Stegostoma tigrinum: one gene and its partner. The protein of the gene in region 1 purifies or fractionates together with the protein of each later gene. This does not show direct contact. Links are inferred from orthologs where the notes say so. Each region holds a gene or a part of one and is shown in the gene's direction. Other genes may lie near its edges.

Region 1 (7,695 bases):
TGTGATGTACAAAGCTCCAAAAGGAGATGCGGTCCTGAGCAAGTACGTGGACCCCTGCAAATGGGACAGGAGCAAAATATGTCCAGCCCCTCTGAACATCTGGCAAGGCTGCCTTTGGGTTCTCCCCATCTGCCTAGCATTGAATAAATCTCTGAGGATGAGATGGACACAGCAGGTGTTGCAACCTCAACACCATTACCACCCAGATAATGAATTTCAGCTGAGATGCTCTGGGCACGAGAGGTGGGCTACAGTCTGCTACAAACTGCAACTATCCCCAAGAAAGAGTTGGAGCAACCTGACATGGTGCAAAAATGACCCACAGAAAAAGAACAGGCCTACATCCCAGGACATACAGGGGGACAGATGTAGTGATTGGAATGAAGTTAGCCAGGTGGACTTCACAGAACACAGGTTTCCTGGTTGGATGAACACATCAGGCCAAGCAGAGCTTTTGTGCCCCTAAGATGCTGCTTGGCCTGCTGTATTCATCTAGCTCCACACTTTGTTATGTCAGAGATTCTGTTCACTCTAGGAGATGGGTCTGTGCTACCTGGACCAGTTTCAAGTACTATTCACGTGTAAATAAACGTGACTTGCTGACAGAATACTGGCCTTTGCTGAGTTTTCAGGAAGTTGACACACCATGCTTCATTCTAAATTTGCTTTGCCTCCATGGGACAGAGAAAATTCCAGCCAGAGTTACAGAACTGTTCTGACAATAAGCTTTTAACCTGACATGTTAACTTTGATTCTGTCTCCACAGATGCTGCTAGGGTGTGCAGCATACGGCGTGGATCTGTTCTGTCACCTTGTTTTGAAAATGTCAATTTGTTTTGCAAACCGCACACTGCCTCTCTAACTGTCATTCCTGGTAGCTATTAGAACTGAATATACCCATCCCATGTCTCTGTCAAGGGACTTGTTTGTTTCAAGCCCACTGGGTACCATTTTGACTGTGTTGTCGTATGAGTATCTAAGTGTCAGATGGTTGATTATGGTTTTAAGCCTTATTCCAACAATCAATCAAGGAAGACAACTCAGTGCATCACATGAGTGAATGCTGTTGTTTGGATCAGACAGTTAACTAAGGCCCTGTCTGCCTGTTCAGATGGATTTAATAGATCCCAAGACACAATGCAGAAAGCAGCAGGAGAATTTCCAAGCGTGGATCTTGATTTTGAGAGATTGTGCATAACAGGTTTGTCTGTTTTAATGTGTTTTTGGCCAAGTCAGTGTTTATTACATTTTCCAACCAACCTGTTCAGCAATGTTACTTTACATCTCTGGAGCAGGTGAGACTTGAACCCAGGCCTTTTGGCTCAGAGGTAGGGACACTATTACTGTGCCATGGAGCTCACCCCACCCCCCACAAGCCAGCATTTATTGTCCATCCACAAATCACTCACCATTTTATTCCATTCAAACCAGCTGCAATAAATATTGGAAGAGATGCCTGTTCCAAAACTTATAACTGACTTGTAATTTCAGCTTCATCTGCTGACATTTGTTCCATATTTCCTCATTTGGATACCATCTTTCACAAAAGATCATCACTTGCACTGTAGTGGTAAACTCTGTTATATGTTGTCTGGTGTGGCCAGGAGCCACACTCTGACAGAGCAGTCTCTGCTTCAGTTACTGTAGAGGAAGACACTGAGCTGAGAAGGTGCAGGATGCTCTGGCTTCAGTTTCTCTGAGCCCCTGTTCTCAGCAGCTGAGTTTTTTGTTTTCTCTCACCACTTCCAATGACCTTCTAGTCATCCTCCAGAGATCCCGGCCATCAGCGACTGTCCCCCATGTGGCAAAAATTTACCAAAAATCCTTGAATAGCACCTTCTAAACCCTCAACCACTTCTATCTAGAAAGACAGGGACAGCAGGTACATAGGAACACCACTTGCGAGTTCCCCTGCAATGCACTCACTCATCCTGACTTGACAATGTATCACTGTTCCTACACTGTTGCTGGGTCAAAATCATGAATTCCGTCCCTAAGGGCATTGTAGGTCAACCTACAGCACGTGGACTGCAGCAGTTCAAGAAGGTGCTCCCCACCAAATTCTCAAGGGCAACTAGGCATTAAAGCAGACTCAGCTGGAGATGCCTATGTACTACAAGTGAACAAAAAAGTCCTACGACAATCTTTTGATAATGAGGAGGAGAGTTCTTTCTGATGACCTGACCAATATTTATTCTTCAATCCATTTCACTGAATCACATTGACATTTGTATCTAATCTCGCTGCTTTGTTTTCTACATTACAACAGTGACTTTATCTTTTTCTCTGCTTGGAGGCTGTCCAAACTACAGAACCTCAACCTGTGCCACAAGGATCATTTCCAGATGGAACAGGGGGAAATGTATTGAACCCCATGCTGTTGGCTCCCATCTGAACTGGCCATTGAACCCACGACCCCCAATGAATCTAAGTATATGGTAATTCAGAGGATGGACTACCTGACATTGGTGTGTTGGATGAATTTCCAAGTCAGTACTCAACCTGTTTGACCATACATTCTGTGGCCACTACTTGTGGAGTATGGACTTGAGCCAGTTTTGGCTGAAGTGGAGAAGCTACCTACTGTGCCACAAGACCCTCCTACAACATTACACCTCCAAAGTTATTTCTTCGTAAAGTGATTTGGGATTCCTGAGGTTGTGAAAGCTGTGACAAATATATCAGTGATAATGGGAACTGCAGATACTGGAGAATCCAAGATAACAAAGTGTGAAGCTGGATGAACACAGCAGGCCAAGCAGCATCTTAGGAGCACAAAAGCTGACGTTTTGGGCCTAGACCCTTCATCAGAGACAAATATATCAATTTGTTTGTGTGATTATTGTCAGCAAAGTGCCCACTGTTTTTGCAATCTTACATCAGTAATGAAGGGGTGAAAAGTACTTAATGGCTGTAAAACACTCTAGGATGTCATAAGGTGTTGAACAGTTTGAGAGAAATTTGAGTTTTATATTCAGATGTGAGGGGTTTATAATGTTCTGTACTCATGGAAGCTGATCCTGTATATAAATACAAGTTATTTCTTTTACTGTACTGGAAGAATGTTAGATACTAAAGAATTCTTGATCCTGGGGCTACTGGCAAGAAACTTAACCATGTAAGTAAGATGGCTAAAACAGCAGGTCATAGGCTAGGAATCCTGCAGCGAGTAACTCACCTCCTCAATCTCCAAAGTCTATTCACCATCGTCAAGGCACAAGTCAGGAGTGTGACAGCATACTAGTCAAGACTTGTCTAGATGAGCACATTAACGTAGCATGCACTTTTATAGAGCATCATTTGCATTGCAAAATCTCCCAAAAGTATTTTAGAGGACTGATGTCAGACAAAATTTGACATTGATTTACAAAAGCAGGCGTTGCACCATCATCAAAAGTGTAGCGGGAAAGGGAGGTTTAAACCTTAAGGAAGAGAGAGCTAGAGAGGTTTGAGAAAGGAGTTCCAGAGCTTGAAGCCCGCATGGCTGCCCGTTTAATGTGACTGAAATCAGGAAATGCTCAGTGGCCAGAATTGGAAGAACGTGGAGATCTGGAGTACTGTGGAACTGGGGCAGATCAGTGAGGTGGGATGGGGAAGAGGCCATGGTGGAATTCACTGAATCATAAAAATCTTACAGCACAAAAGAAGGCCATTTGGTTAATTGTGTCTGCACAGGGTCTCCAGATAAGCATTATGATTTAGTGCCAATCTCCTGCCTTTTCCCCATACCCTTATATATTGTATCTATTAAAATAACCATCCTTTTCCCTCCTGAATGCCACACTCCACGAACCCCTACCATATTTTCAGTCAATGCTTCCAGTCCCTAAACATCCTGTGTTAACATTTTTCCGCCTCACGTCATTCTTACTTCTTTCATAAATCACTTAAGTCTGTGCTCTTTGGGTTCTTGATCCAAGGTGGAACAGCTCTGAAAAACAGTAGGATTGTTCCTTCTGAACAGTTGTGTTGCAGGAAAAAAAACCTAGCAGCCAATTTGCATACAGCAAGATCTCCTTAGCTAGCAACGTGACTGTGTTCTGATAAACAGAAAGAAAGAATACTGGAGAAAGTCAACAGTTCTGGACAGCATCTGAGGAAAGTTAGAGGCTGAGTTAATGTTTTGAAACCGGTGACCTGATGAAGCTGTTTGAGTGATGTTGATTGAAGGTTATGGATGATGTGCAGGTGCCAGTATTGGACTAGGTCAGCAATCACACCACACCAGGTTCTAGTCCAACAGGTTTATTTGAAAACACAAGCTTTTGGAGCCTCAGTGTTAGTGCGAGAGGAAGTATCGGACACAGAATTTATAAATAAAAAAATCAAAGGTTCACACCATTGATGAGGATGTAGCAAACAAACCTAAGATGTGTCAAATCTTTAATCAGTTCGGAGGTTTTAATTGATTAACATATTTAAATCCCTTAATTCCTTTGAAGTCACTGTCCTGAGAGAACTAAAGGTGACATTTTAGGTCATTTGTTTTCTTTTTCCACTCAGACTGACCGGCAACCTGTATTTTCTGGACGTAGCGAATTGACAGTGAATTTATACAGCCCACAGGCGGCGCCTGGTCCCTCTATCCTTCAGTGACAGGGTGGAGAATGAAGGAAGGCTTCAGTGGGGTGGGGGGGGCATTTCAACAGCGCCGCCTTCTACCGTGCCTACCACATATGGGAACACGGAGTGTCAGCAGCATACACACACACACACAGTGTGTGGGAGAGACAGCGTTCCGGAATAACACACACACACACACACCCCATCGATCACGCCCGGAGCACGATCCAACCCGAGCTCGCTGCTGCAATAAACGGAGCCAAACAAAAACAAAAAGAAGCGGAGCAGGAACGGCGGCGCTAAAATCGTCATTGTCGACGGGAACCGGGATCGGAGCTGGATCAGGGAGCAAACCAGGATCAAATCGACAGTGGGATTAGAGAGAGAGAGAGAGAGAGAGAGACCAGCATCAAACCAGCAGCAGGTTCAGACCTGGAGCAAGATTGGAAGGGAAACCAGGAACGGATTTGGAGTACAATCAACGCAGGAAGTCAGGATCAGACCAGGAGGATGTTTAGACCGGGGTCAGAATAGGAGAGATATCAGAGGAGAACCAAGACCTGCAGCAAGATTAAATCAGGCTCAAACCAAAAGCAAGGTGAGGGGAAGACTAGGGTTAGACCAGGAGCAGCATCCGAAAGAAAACTGACAGTTTACCTGGAGCTGAATGAGAGGGGAACCCAGAGCAAACTTGGAGCAGGGTTTGGGGAGGACTGGGGTCAGGATAAAGTTTGTTCAGGATTGCCTTTGGTAGAGCAGGCACACAGATTCCATCTCAGGGTTGTCGCTGTAGTTACAGTTTCACATTGTCCAAATTGAGCCCTGCTTTCAGGTTAGTGTTTTACTTGGGATTCCTCCCGGGAGGAGTACGTTTCAGGCACTTTACTGCTGAAAGGGTTGCAGAGATCCTGACATTTGGTCGTATATTGATGAATTGGCTGATTATCAATAAATTGGACCCTGATTATTGACTGATGAATTGTCACTGTATCAACCTGTCATTGTTGGATTATCCATTCATTGGAGCCAGGCTACCAATAGATCAGGATTTAATTATTGCCTGATGGATCACCAGTTAATTGTCGCTTTCTGGATTAACAAAACTGGATTATCACCCTATTGTTACTGGATTATCACTTGATTGAAATCAGATCACTGACTATAAATCAGAGGGTACTTGTCATCTTGCTAATTGATTGGCACTGAATGATTGATATCTGCTCTGTTGCCAATCTGAGCCAGTGCTGTATTATCAATTAGAGCTGATCAATTCTGATTAATTTTAAATAGCCTGCAGTGGACCCATCTTTGACTCTGGTGGTTTGAAGACCTGCCCATAAATCCTGGAAATCTTCCCTTCCCTTCTCTTCCTTTCCCACCATCCTGTCATTAAGAGTTTCTTGATTTGGGAAAAATGTGAAAAAGATTTCAGGAGTTGGGGGGGGTGGGGGATGTGAGGGGAGATGTCGAAAGAATCAGCACTCAGATTGGACCTGTCCAGTGATGTATTGATACCTGACCCTGGCCCATATTCTGCTCCAGTGCTGGGTGCGATACCTGGTTGCAGCCATCTCCGCCCCTCTTCGTACAGAGCACTGCGTAGCGCTGTCTCCACCTTGACCAGGATCGATGATTTTCACTGTGAGAAAATTGGGTCGGGATTCTTCTCTGAGGTGTTCAAGGTAGGTGGCTGTGAATGTTGCGCATGTTACCTGTGAACTTGTTGATTGATAATTTGGTTGAGAGAGAGAGAGGCACTACCAAATACCTGAGACAATAACTGCTGCTGGGGATATTGTGTACATGAGGGGTCAGACTGTACCTGAACAGTGTGTCTGTGCCTGCTCTGACTGTACTCGAGGATCTGTCTGCATATACCTAATGATCATACTATTTGTTTGTATGTGAGGGTCTATGTTTACCTGATTAGTCACTATTACACAAGCTGGCATCTGCTACTGTATCTCTGGTTTGGAAATGTGCTGAAATCTGCAGTTGAGACTATAATTGGAAACATAGTTCATTATCTAGAAGATTAAATGATTAGTTAAAAGCTTTATTGGTTGATGTGTACCTTTCAAAAGGATTAGTGATCATAACAATAAGAATGACTTACATTGGGTATTCTATCAAGTTAGAGTCTTGATATTAATGTGTTTCATGAGAAAATTATGTAACAAAACATGCTATCTAGCCACATTAGGTTAGATGACCAAAAGCTAGGTCACAAAGTGTAGGTATTAAGGAGCATTATAGAGGAAGAAAGTGAGGTAGAGAGGGAATTCTGGAGCTCCGGGCCCAAGAAGCTGAAAAATCAATTGTCAACAGTAACATGATTAAAACCAGGGATGCTGAAGAGACCAGAATTGGGTGAAGGCAGACATTTCTAAAGGTTGTACAGGAAGAGGGTGTAACAGAGATAACAAGGGGTGAAGCCATACAGGGATTTGAAATCAAGGATGAGAATTTTAAGTCAAGTTGCTATTTCGGTGGGAGCCAGTGTAAATTGCTGGGTGACAGGGGAACAGAAATGATGCAATTTGGGCATCAGGACTTGGATGACTCCAAGTTTATGGTAGGTAGACAGTTAGGCAGCAGCCTTTTGAAATCATTGAGTCCAGTGTGTTAAAGGTGTGGATAACAGTTTCAGCAGCAAATCGGCTAAGCTGCAGAAGTGAAAATAGACCCTGGGTGATTTCATGGATGTGAGGTCAAAAGCTCATAAACGGGTCAGACACAACACCAATGTTGACAAAAGCCTAATGGGAAAGCAAAATACTGTTGATTCTGGAGATCTGAAATAAAAACAGAAATTACTGGAGTAATTCAGCAGCTCTGGCAGTATTTATGGTGAGAAAAACAGAGTTAACTTTTTGAGCCCATTATGGATTCTTCAGAATTGCTAAATACATCCCAGGAAAGAATAAAAGAAATGTTTTTCCATTCCTCACGAATGTTTCTAAAAGGCAACCCTATAAATTGAATGCCTCTGATATGAAGAGATGACATTTTTTTTAAAAATCTGTTCTTTGATAAACAATCTTTGTTTTCTTTTGTAACAGTCAACAAAGAAACAGTTGGTACTGCTGAACACGGGTGTTGTCTGTGAGCTCTTCACAACAGAGAAACATC
Region 2 (7,612 bases), on another chromosome or scaffold:
ACACACCCCTGGACACTACGGATAATTTACCATGGCCAATCTACCTAACCTGCACATCTTTGGACTGCGGTAGGAAACCAGAGCACCCAACGGAACCCCACACAGACATGGGGAGAACATGCAACCTCTGTACAGACAGTCGCCCGAGGGTGGTATCGAACCCATGTCCCTGGTGCTGCGAGGCAGCAGTGCTAACCACTTAGCCACTGTGTTGATTGCTTTTTTTTTTTAAGAAAGAGCATCCCACCCATCCCATCCTACCCTCTCCCTGTAACCCTGCATTCCCCACGGCTAACCCACTTGGCCTGCACATCTCTGGATACTTTGGGAAATTTACCACAGCCAATCCACCTAACCTGCACATGTTGGAACTGTGTGAGGAAACCAGAGTAAACCCATACTGACAAAAGGGTGAATATGAAAACTCCACATTTGCCCGAGGGCAGAATCAAACCGGGGACCCTGGTGCTGAGAGGATGCAGTGCTAGCCACTGAACCACCATGCCACCCAAATCCTTTTTCTATTTTCAATACCTTCACACAGTTTCAAGTTTGTTTTTGTGTCATAACGTTTATACACATGCTAAAAAACATTACAATCACAGTGTGATAAAAAGTGAACAGTGCAGATGCTGGAAATCTAACATCAAAACACTGAAAATACTTAGCTATATACAAAGAAAAGAGCATCCCCACAGAATGGGACTTCTTCAGAACATAACATACTATAATCGTAAATACCCTGATTCAAATCTCAGTAGCATCTTAACAGATGTGATATGCGATGTGATATGCGATAATAATCAACAATATAGCTCACAAAACCTCAGTCAAAGCTTAGGTACTATTACACAACTGTGGTTCATACCTGAAACTTAAAGACACCAGCATAAACATCTAAATACATTCAAGGCTCATTTTTAACTATTTCACTTGAAGTGAATATTATGAAGCATCCTTTACCAGATTGTTGTACATTGTAGTGATTTTATAAGTTAATACACCACATAAATGCCTGGTATAAAGGGTTAAAAGAGAAGCAAATATTAAGATGTAGATTCTGCACTGCATGAACGGGAAAGCAGTTCACAGTGAAACATGCAGAAGTATGCTTGTATATGACCAAAACTGGACAATACCCTCAATGCAGCTGATCAAAGCCTTATTTAGAGAAATGTTCATGTTTATCAATTTCTATATGAGCACATGATACATTTCCATACCCTGTCGATCCTGTGGCACTACCTATAGGTACAGAAGACATAGTAGATGCTGAGAAATGAGAGGTAGTATTGAGATGTTAATGGGATAACATCTCATTAATTTTTGTGCTCCTTGTCTTCTCACACAGGGGTATGTGGAAACTGTCCTAAACTTCCAGCCAAAATAGGATTGGGTGGCTAATGTTTGTAAAGGTATGATTTGTAATTCTGTAAAAGGGTGAAACTTCTGTAAAGGTATGAAACTTCTGTTTCTACTGAAGTGGACAGGTCAGTGACCTCTGTTCAAGCCAGACACTTTGGCGGCTTGAAATCGTTACCAGTCACTTCGTGAACAATCAATGCTGTATTCTGTTCGCTATATGTTCCAAATGTAGTAAATGTTTTTTGTATCAGCCAAAATAGAGTATAAAAAGCGGGGACTGTCCACTGTTCGGGGAGAATTGCTAACGGAACTCAGCACTCTGTGCCAGGTTGAGTACAGCGATCCTCCACAGCTTGTTCTTGTTTAATAATAAAGGATTGTGTTTTTGTAGCCAGGTCAGTGTCTTGCTATTGCATCAAGTTTGTGCGGGTCTCCGAAAAACGAACCTAACAGTATTAGAAGAACGAACAAAAGACAACGAAAGCTTAATAGTATAATTTATAAAGTGTTACCAGAATAGACAAACCTAGGAACATGTGTATATAGATATTTGGAGGCCAATGGGCAAGTTAACAAAGCAGGAGATGCAATCCTGGGCTTTAAGTAAAAGACAGAGTACAAAATTCACGGAATTATGCTAAACCTACATAAAACACTACCTTGATCTCGACTGGGAGTACTCTGTTTAATTTCACAAAGAACATGAAAACTTTGGGGAAAGAAAAATGTATTAAACGGCTCTAAAATGAGGAATTACATTTATGCAAATAGATTTGAGAAATTGGGGGTTTGAATGAGATATTTGGACACAGTGAATAAATGACTGAAGCATGAATAATCAGAGGTGACAGATAGAAGGCAGAAAAAGTGAGGAAAAGAACGTGGCAATCCAGAATTGACTAAAGGCATAACTAATAATTTATCACTCCTGAATGATAAATACGAACAGTAACAAAGTGTAATTGGCCTTTAATTTCATATGGTATTTGCACAGTATAATATATTTCAAACTTGATGCATCTTCTGGGAAAATGGCAAACTAAAAAAAAAACTGAATGTATGAGTGTTTCTTTGATCATTAAGTATTTTAACTAATTACGCTTCAGTAAGATGAGTAAAGACACTCACCGAATCCAGCATTTGTATTACAAGAATGTTAACCAGACTAAAAATCATTGGCCCAATTAAATTACATTGCCGTTACCGCTCATTCAGCAATTTCTACTGAACAATACTACATTTAACATCAAGGAATATTCATTATAATCACATTCTCAAACATGTCACCAAAACGGTCCATGCATGTTAATCATCTACAATTTGTGGCTGAGGAATATATTTAATGGCCTACTTGAGCTGATGTCCAGGTAAAAAGGGCAACATGCTAGTTTGCGATTATTAGAGTTATAGACTTAATGCAGGCTGTTCAGGCAGCATTTATCTAAACTGAGACAAGAAGATGAACCAGCATAGCCATTCCACCTAAACTGCACATTTTTCTACTGAGAAGGAAAGCAGAGCATCCAGAGGAAACCCCAAGCAGACATGTGTAAACTCCACATTAGACAGTCGCCCAAGGCTGGAACTTAACTAGGTCTCTGGCGCTGAGGCAGCAGCGGGTCACCGTGCCACACCAAATGGGAACAAAAGTGTGCAGTAGAAGCTGAATCAATATTTTATCTTAAATAAAGAGCTTCTGTTTTTCTTCTCCATCCACATATTAATACTGAGCAGGATCTTGTAAGACTTAATCACTACTGCAACCTGCTCTGGCATATTCAACAGTATCTAAACACCCCCAACACCTCCAAATACACTACAGGAGCCTATTACTGTTACTAAATGCCTCTATTATCTCATCAAAAACTCCATCCTGTTTTAAGCAGATGTGTGATTTGCAATCACCCAGTCTTCCGGTAGCATTTCTGTACATTAAAAGGTTATAGCCAGTACCTTCACAATTTGAATGCTTGTTTCTCTCAGTATTCTCAGATGCATCTCGTTGAAAGTAACATTTCTTTATCAATCTTTAGCCTCTCTAGCATCACAACTAATTACTCTCTCACTTGAACCATTTAAGTCAATACTCATTAGCATTTGAACAATCTGCATAACAGTTTAGCATTAATAACTAAACCTCTCCACAACTCAACTCCGAAAGTTTCCACTCCTGGTACAGTCAACATTGAACCCAAAAAGAAGCTATAGTTTTAATCTGGAGTGAAATCTTCTACCTCAACCTAATTGAAACAAAAACTTACTTTTGGATCAGAATTAACCGTGATTAGTCAGCAACAAGTCAAGTTCCTCAAATGAACAAAATTTGTGAATTGTTTTACGAAATGATCCAATCCTTCGTTGAAGCAAACTACGTTTCACTTCAAGCGTCCCAGTTCAGCATTCAGGGGAGGCTTCTCACCTATTAGAGGTCCATTCTCCGGGAGTGGTGGGGTTAACACTTGTGATGTTTTGATTGCGGCGACATTACGCTGTCAATGTAAAGATCCACAGATAATAGCGCTAAGGAAGTCTACCTGCCACACATTAAATTTATGTCAAAACCCAAATATAAACAAATGCCACAGAACTTAGGACACAAGAGGTAAGGCCCCAAAAACGTAAGGGTACAGCCTAAAGCTGTAGTCTTGACAGGTCCCATTGCGTCGCTACAAACATAATCGACACTGAGGCGTCAAATAGATTTAGCAATAGACAGACACAAAAAAACATACAAAATAAAGTTCGGGGGTGGGGGAGAGCGGAAACTGTAACACGTTACCTTTAGGTCATTTTCTGGAAGATATTTGCACTGCCGAGCTATCTCCACATACTTATCCAGGTCCAGAGGCGCCATTTTGAGACACGGACTGAGCAAGCCCCAGGCCAATGACGCGCTTCCGGTATCTAAAGCGCCGGCCGCTGGCTAAAGAAACCGGCTTCAAACCTTCACCTTACCCCGAAACGCGTTCGATCGTTAATGACCACTTTGTATTGTTTGAAGATTGACCCCATTCCCCAGGACACACCGAAACTCTTTGTTTAATCCCACAGTTTTTACGCACCGCCCTCTCCATTGGCCGGCTCGGTGGTAAAGTTGAAAGTTCAAGGGTTGTAGATTCCCTTTAGCAACACCCGAGAAAAAAATTGGGAAGAACGACAGGTATGAAGCATTTGAGGCATAGGCTTATATTGCTGTAATTATAGCGAGTAACAGATGCTCTAACGGTTAGTCATCGAAGTGCTGAAAATCAGTAAATGGAATTTGGAGGGAAGGGGAATTGGAAAGTGGCATCTTTCAGTGCTGGCCTTTAAATCGCTGGAGTGACACTAAATTTCACATCAAACTTCCCTGTTTGGAGAAGATCGGCGTTTGTTCAAATATTCTCAGAATGTTCCATTTAAATCAGAAGAACATGAAGAGGCTGCTGTAAAAGATTGTAAAACGGGGCACGTGTCCAATATTTAATTTGCTCCTCATTGTTTTATTTTAAAAAGCCCACGAGATTAAATCAATCGTGACTGCGTGCAAACTGATGACGAAAAGACAAAAAAAAGTAGCAGTGATTGTTCAGTTATGATACTGACTTAGCAAATCGGGGCATAATCACAATCTGTGCGCATGATAAGAACCTGGAGGCATTGATTGTGATCTCTGAGGAAGACAGTGTCGACCTTCAAGAGAACATGGACATGATGATAGAATTGGTAGATAAAGGGCAGAAAACCAGACAATACGAAATAAAAATTACAGTTCTAAAGGATGCACAGCGCAGAGAGATGTGAGTGTGCATAAAGCAGTGAAGGTAGGACAGTTTGAAAGAGTGGCTGTTAAAGTGCACAGTTTCTTAGGCTTTATAGTTAGGAAGGAAGAACCAAGCAGATTTTGTTAAACTTGCTTAAAAATGCACTGGCAATTACATTTCATCCAGCTGTATGCATTGCACTGTACAGAATCTGGAAAAGATTCACGAGAATAATCTCCAGGATGAGGAACTTCAATTGCTTAGAAAGATTAGTGCTGTCATTATGTTTTTTCTGGAAGGCAGAGAGGAGCTTTGTTAGATGCTTTCAAAAGTCATGAAGGATCAGGTCAGAATGGAGAAGGGAAAAACAGTGGCCATTTATGTGAAAGGTTGAAGAACAAAAGGACACAGCCTTTGAGAAATTGGCAAAAGAATCAATGGTGATATGCGGGGGAAAATGTTTTTGATCCCATTGAGTGGTCAGGATATGGAATGTACATTGAAGGCAGGTTTAATAAAGGCGTCTAAAGGAAGAATGTGCAGGATTACAGGGAGAATGCAAGAGAATGTCATGAGATAAATTGTTAATTTTGAGATCCACTACAACACAACAGTTTGAATGGTGTTTTGTGGAACTGAAGTGAAGAATACAGTAGTTATCACTCAACTGCTAATATGCATAGTCTAGGGATATCAGACTAAGACTTTTAGCATTTTTGATTTTTCATCTCCACCTCAAAAATTGGTAGGAAAGCTTGAATGAGAAAACAGATTCAGAATTGCAGACAGCCATTGACAGGTAGTTTACGATATTTACATGCACCAATCTAAGTCGTAATGCCAATGTCAGATTTTATAAAGATGTGGAGGTGGACAAAACCTGAAGTCACATGATACCAGGTATAGGCCAACAGGTTTGTTTAAAATCACAAGCCTTCAGAGTGCTGCTCCTTCATCAGGTGAAGGCTGATGAAATCTTCATCTGGCGAAGGAGCAATGCTCCAAAAGTTTATGATTTTCAATGAACTTGTTGGACTATAACCTGCTGCCATATGACTTCAGATGTTGTAAAAGTTGTAAATTACCTTATGGTCGCATTGAGACTATAATATGCTGTGCTATGGGTTGATTTCATTTACTATAATTAAATAAATGCAAGTAATTTTTATACATTAACATAACATAAAAGTTTAAATCTTCAATGTCTGACAGTTTTATTCCAGATTTTTCGAAAGGCTATGGAATTGCTGACTGTCTTGGAGCCAGGGGAAACACCCCAAATAGCAACATGGTAGGCTGTCAAAGCATGTGTATATTTAACCCGACACTATATTGACAGGAATTGTAACTGTAAAGTGATACCTTAACACAGAGATAATGTCCCTATTTTTTCTTTTGTTTTATTTATTCACATGGTCATCATTTATTTCCCATTCCTGTTGTAGTAGGTCTGTACCACATGTAGGCCAGACCAGCTAAGGATGGCAGTGAACCAGATGAGATTTTTTTTTCAACAATTGAGCCACTTCATGATCATCATTAGACTCCTATTTCCAGACTTCTATTGGATTCAAATTCCATGACTGCCATGAGGTAGTAGGAATTGCAGATGCTGGAGAATCTGTAATAACAAGATGTAGAGCTGGATGAACACAGCAGGCCAAGCAGCCTCATAGGAGCAGGAAAGTTCCTATGATGCTGGTTGGCCTGCAGTGTTCATCCAGCTCTACTCCATAACTGCCATGGTGGCAGTCAAACCGGTATACCTAGAAAATTACCTGGCTCTCTGGATTAACAGTTGAGTGATAGCACCACTAGGCGATTGTGTTCCTTTCTTTTGATGTTACAACTATACATGAATAACAAGTTGTGGAAAGACGATGTGTAAATCTGTACAGGACTGCTTGCCATGTCACTTAAAAAAGACACTAGGGAATGTGCAGAAATATTTACGGAAATTATAGCAGAAAACCTGTTTACACAGGAGTTCTGCATGGCTTATTGTTGGAACTGTTGCTGTTTGTGATGTAAGTTATAATTTGGACTTAAATGTAGGGGTATGATCAAGAATTTCATACATAGTGCCGAAGTTGGTATGGTGGGAAAGAGTGGCATAACTGCATGGAGTTTTCAAAGGACCAATCAGTTGGCGGGGCAATATAGGTTGGATTTTAACCTTGTAAAGCTAATGCACTTGGAGAGGGATTTCAAGGCAAGGGATTTTATAAATAGTTGGACTCCGAAAAGTAGTGAAGATCAGAGGAACCTTGGTGCATATCTTCAGATCCCTTAACATTGTAGGGCAAGGTAGGGTAAATAAGGTAGTTAAGAAGGCATATCAAATAACTTGCTTTTATTAGAGGCCAAGGATTTTATTCAAAGACCGAGGAAGTTATGCTAGAACTAGATAAATGCTTTTGAAGCCACAATTAGAATACTGAGGGCAGGTCTAGTTGCCAAAGTATTGGAAGAATATAACTGTATGAAGAGGGTGCGTGGAAATT

The links.
Region 2: the proteins of dual specificity testis-specific protein kinase 1-like (region 1) and rabepk purify together in Homo sapiens (affinity purification with mass spectrometry; 3 studies listed by BioGRID and IntAct, with this or other methods). This does not show direct contact. The link is inferred for Stegostoma tigrinum from reciprocal best matches to the Homo sapiens genes TESK1 and RABEPK.

Annotation. Positions count from the first base shown.
Region 1 is NC_081356.1:132,182,601-132,190,295, forward strand, and holds the start of dual specificity testis-specific protein kinase 1-like, read left to right. Parts: upstream 1-4,655; 5' UTR 4,656-6,026; coding exon 6,027-6,245; intron 6,246-7,695. UniProt on the Homo sapiens protein: Dual specificity protein kinase activity catalyzing autophosphorylation and phosphorylation of exogenous substrates on both serine/threonine and tyrosine residues.
Region 2 is NC_081382.1:26,603,000-26,610,611, forward strand, and holds the start of rabepk (rab9 effector protein with kelch motifs), read left to right. Parts: upstream 1-4,275; 5' UTR 4,276-4,525; intron 4,526-6,320; exon of another isoform or gene 6,321-6,331; 5' UTR 6,332-6,346; coding exon 6,347-6,399; intron 6,400-7,612. Other genes in the region: ppp6c (serine/threonine-protein phosphatase 6 catalytic subunit), read right to left, coding at 4,145-4,219. UniProt on the Homo sapiens protein: Rab9 effector required for endosome to trans-Golgi network (TGN) transport.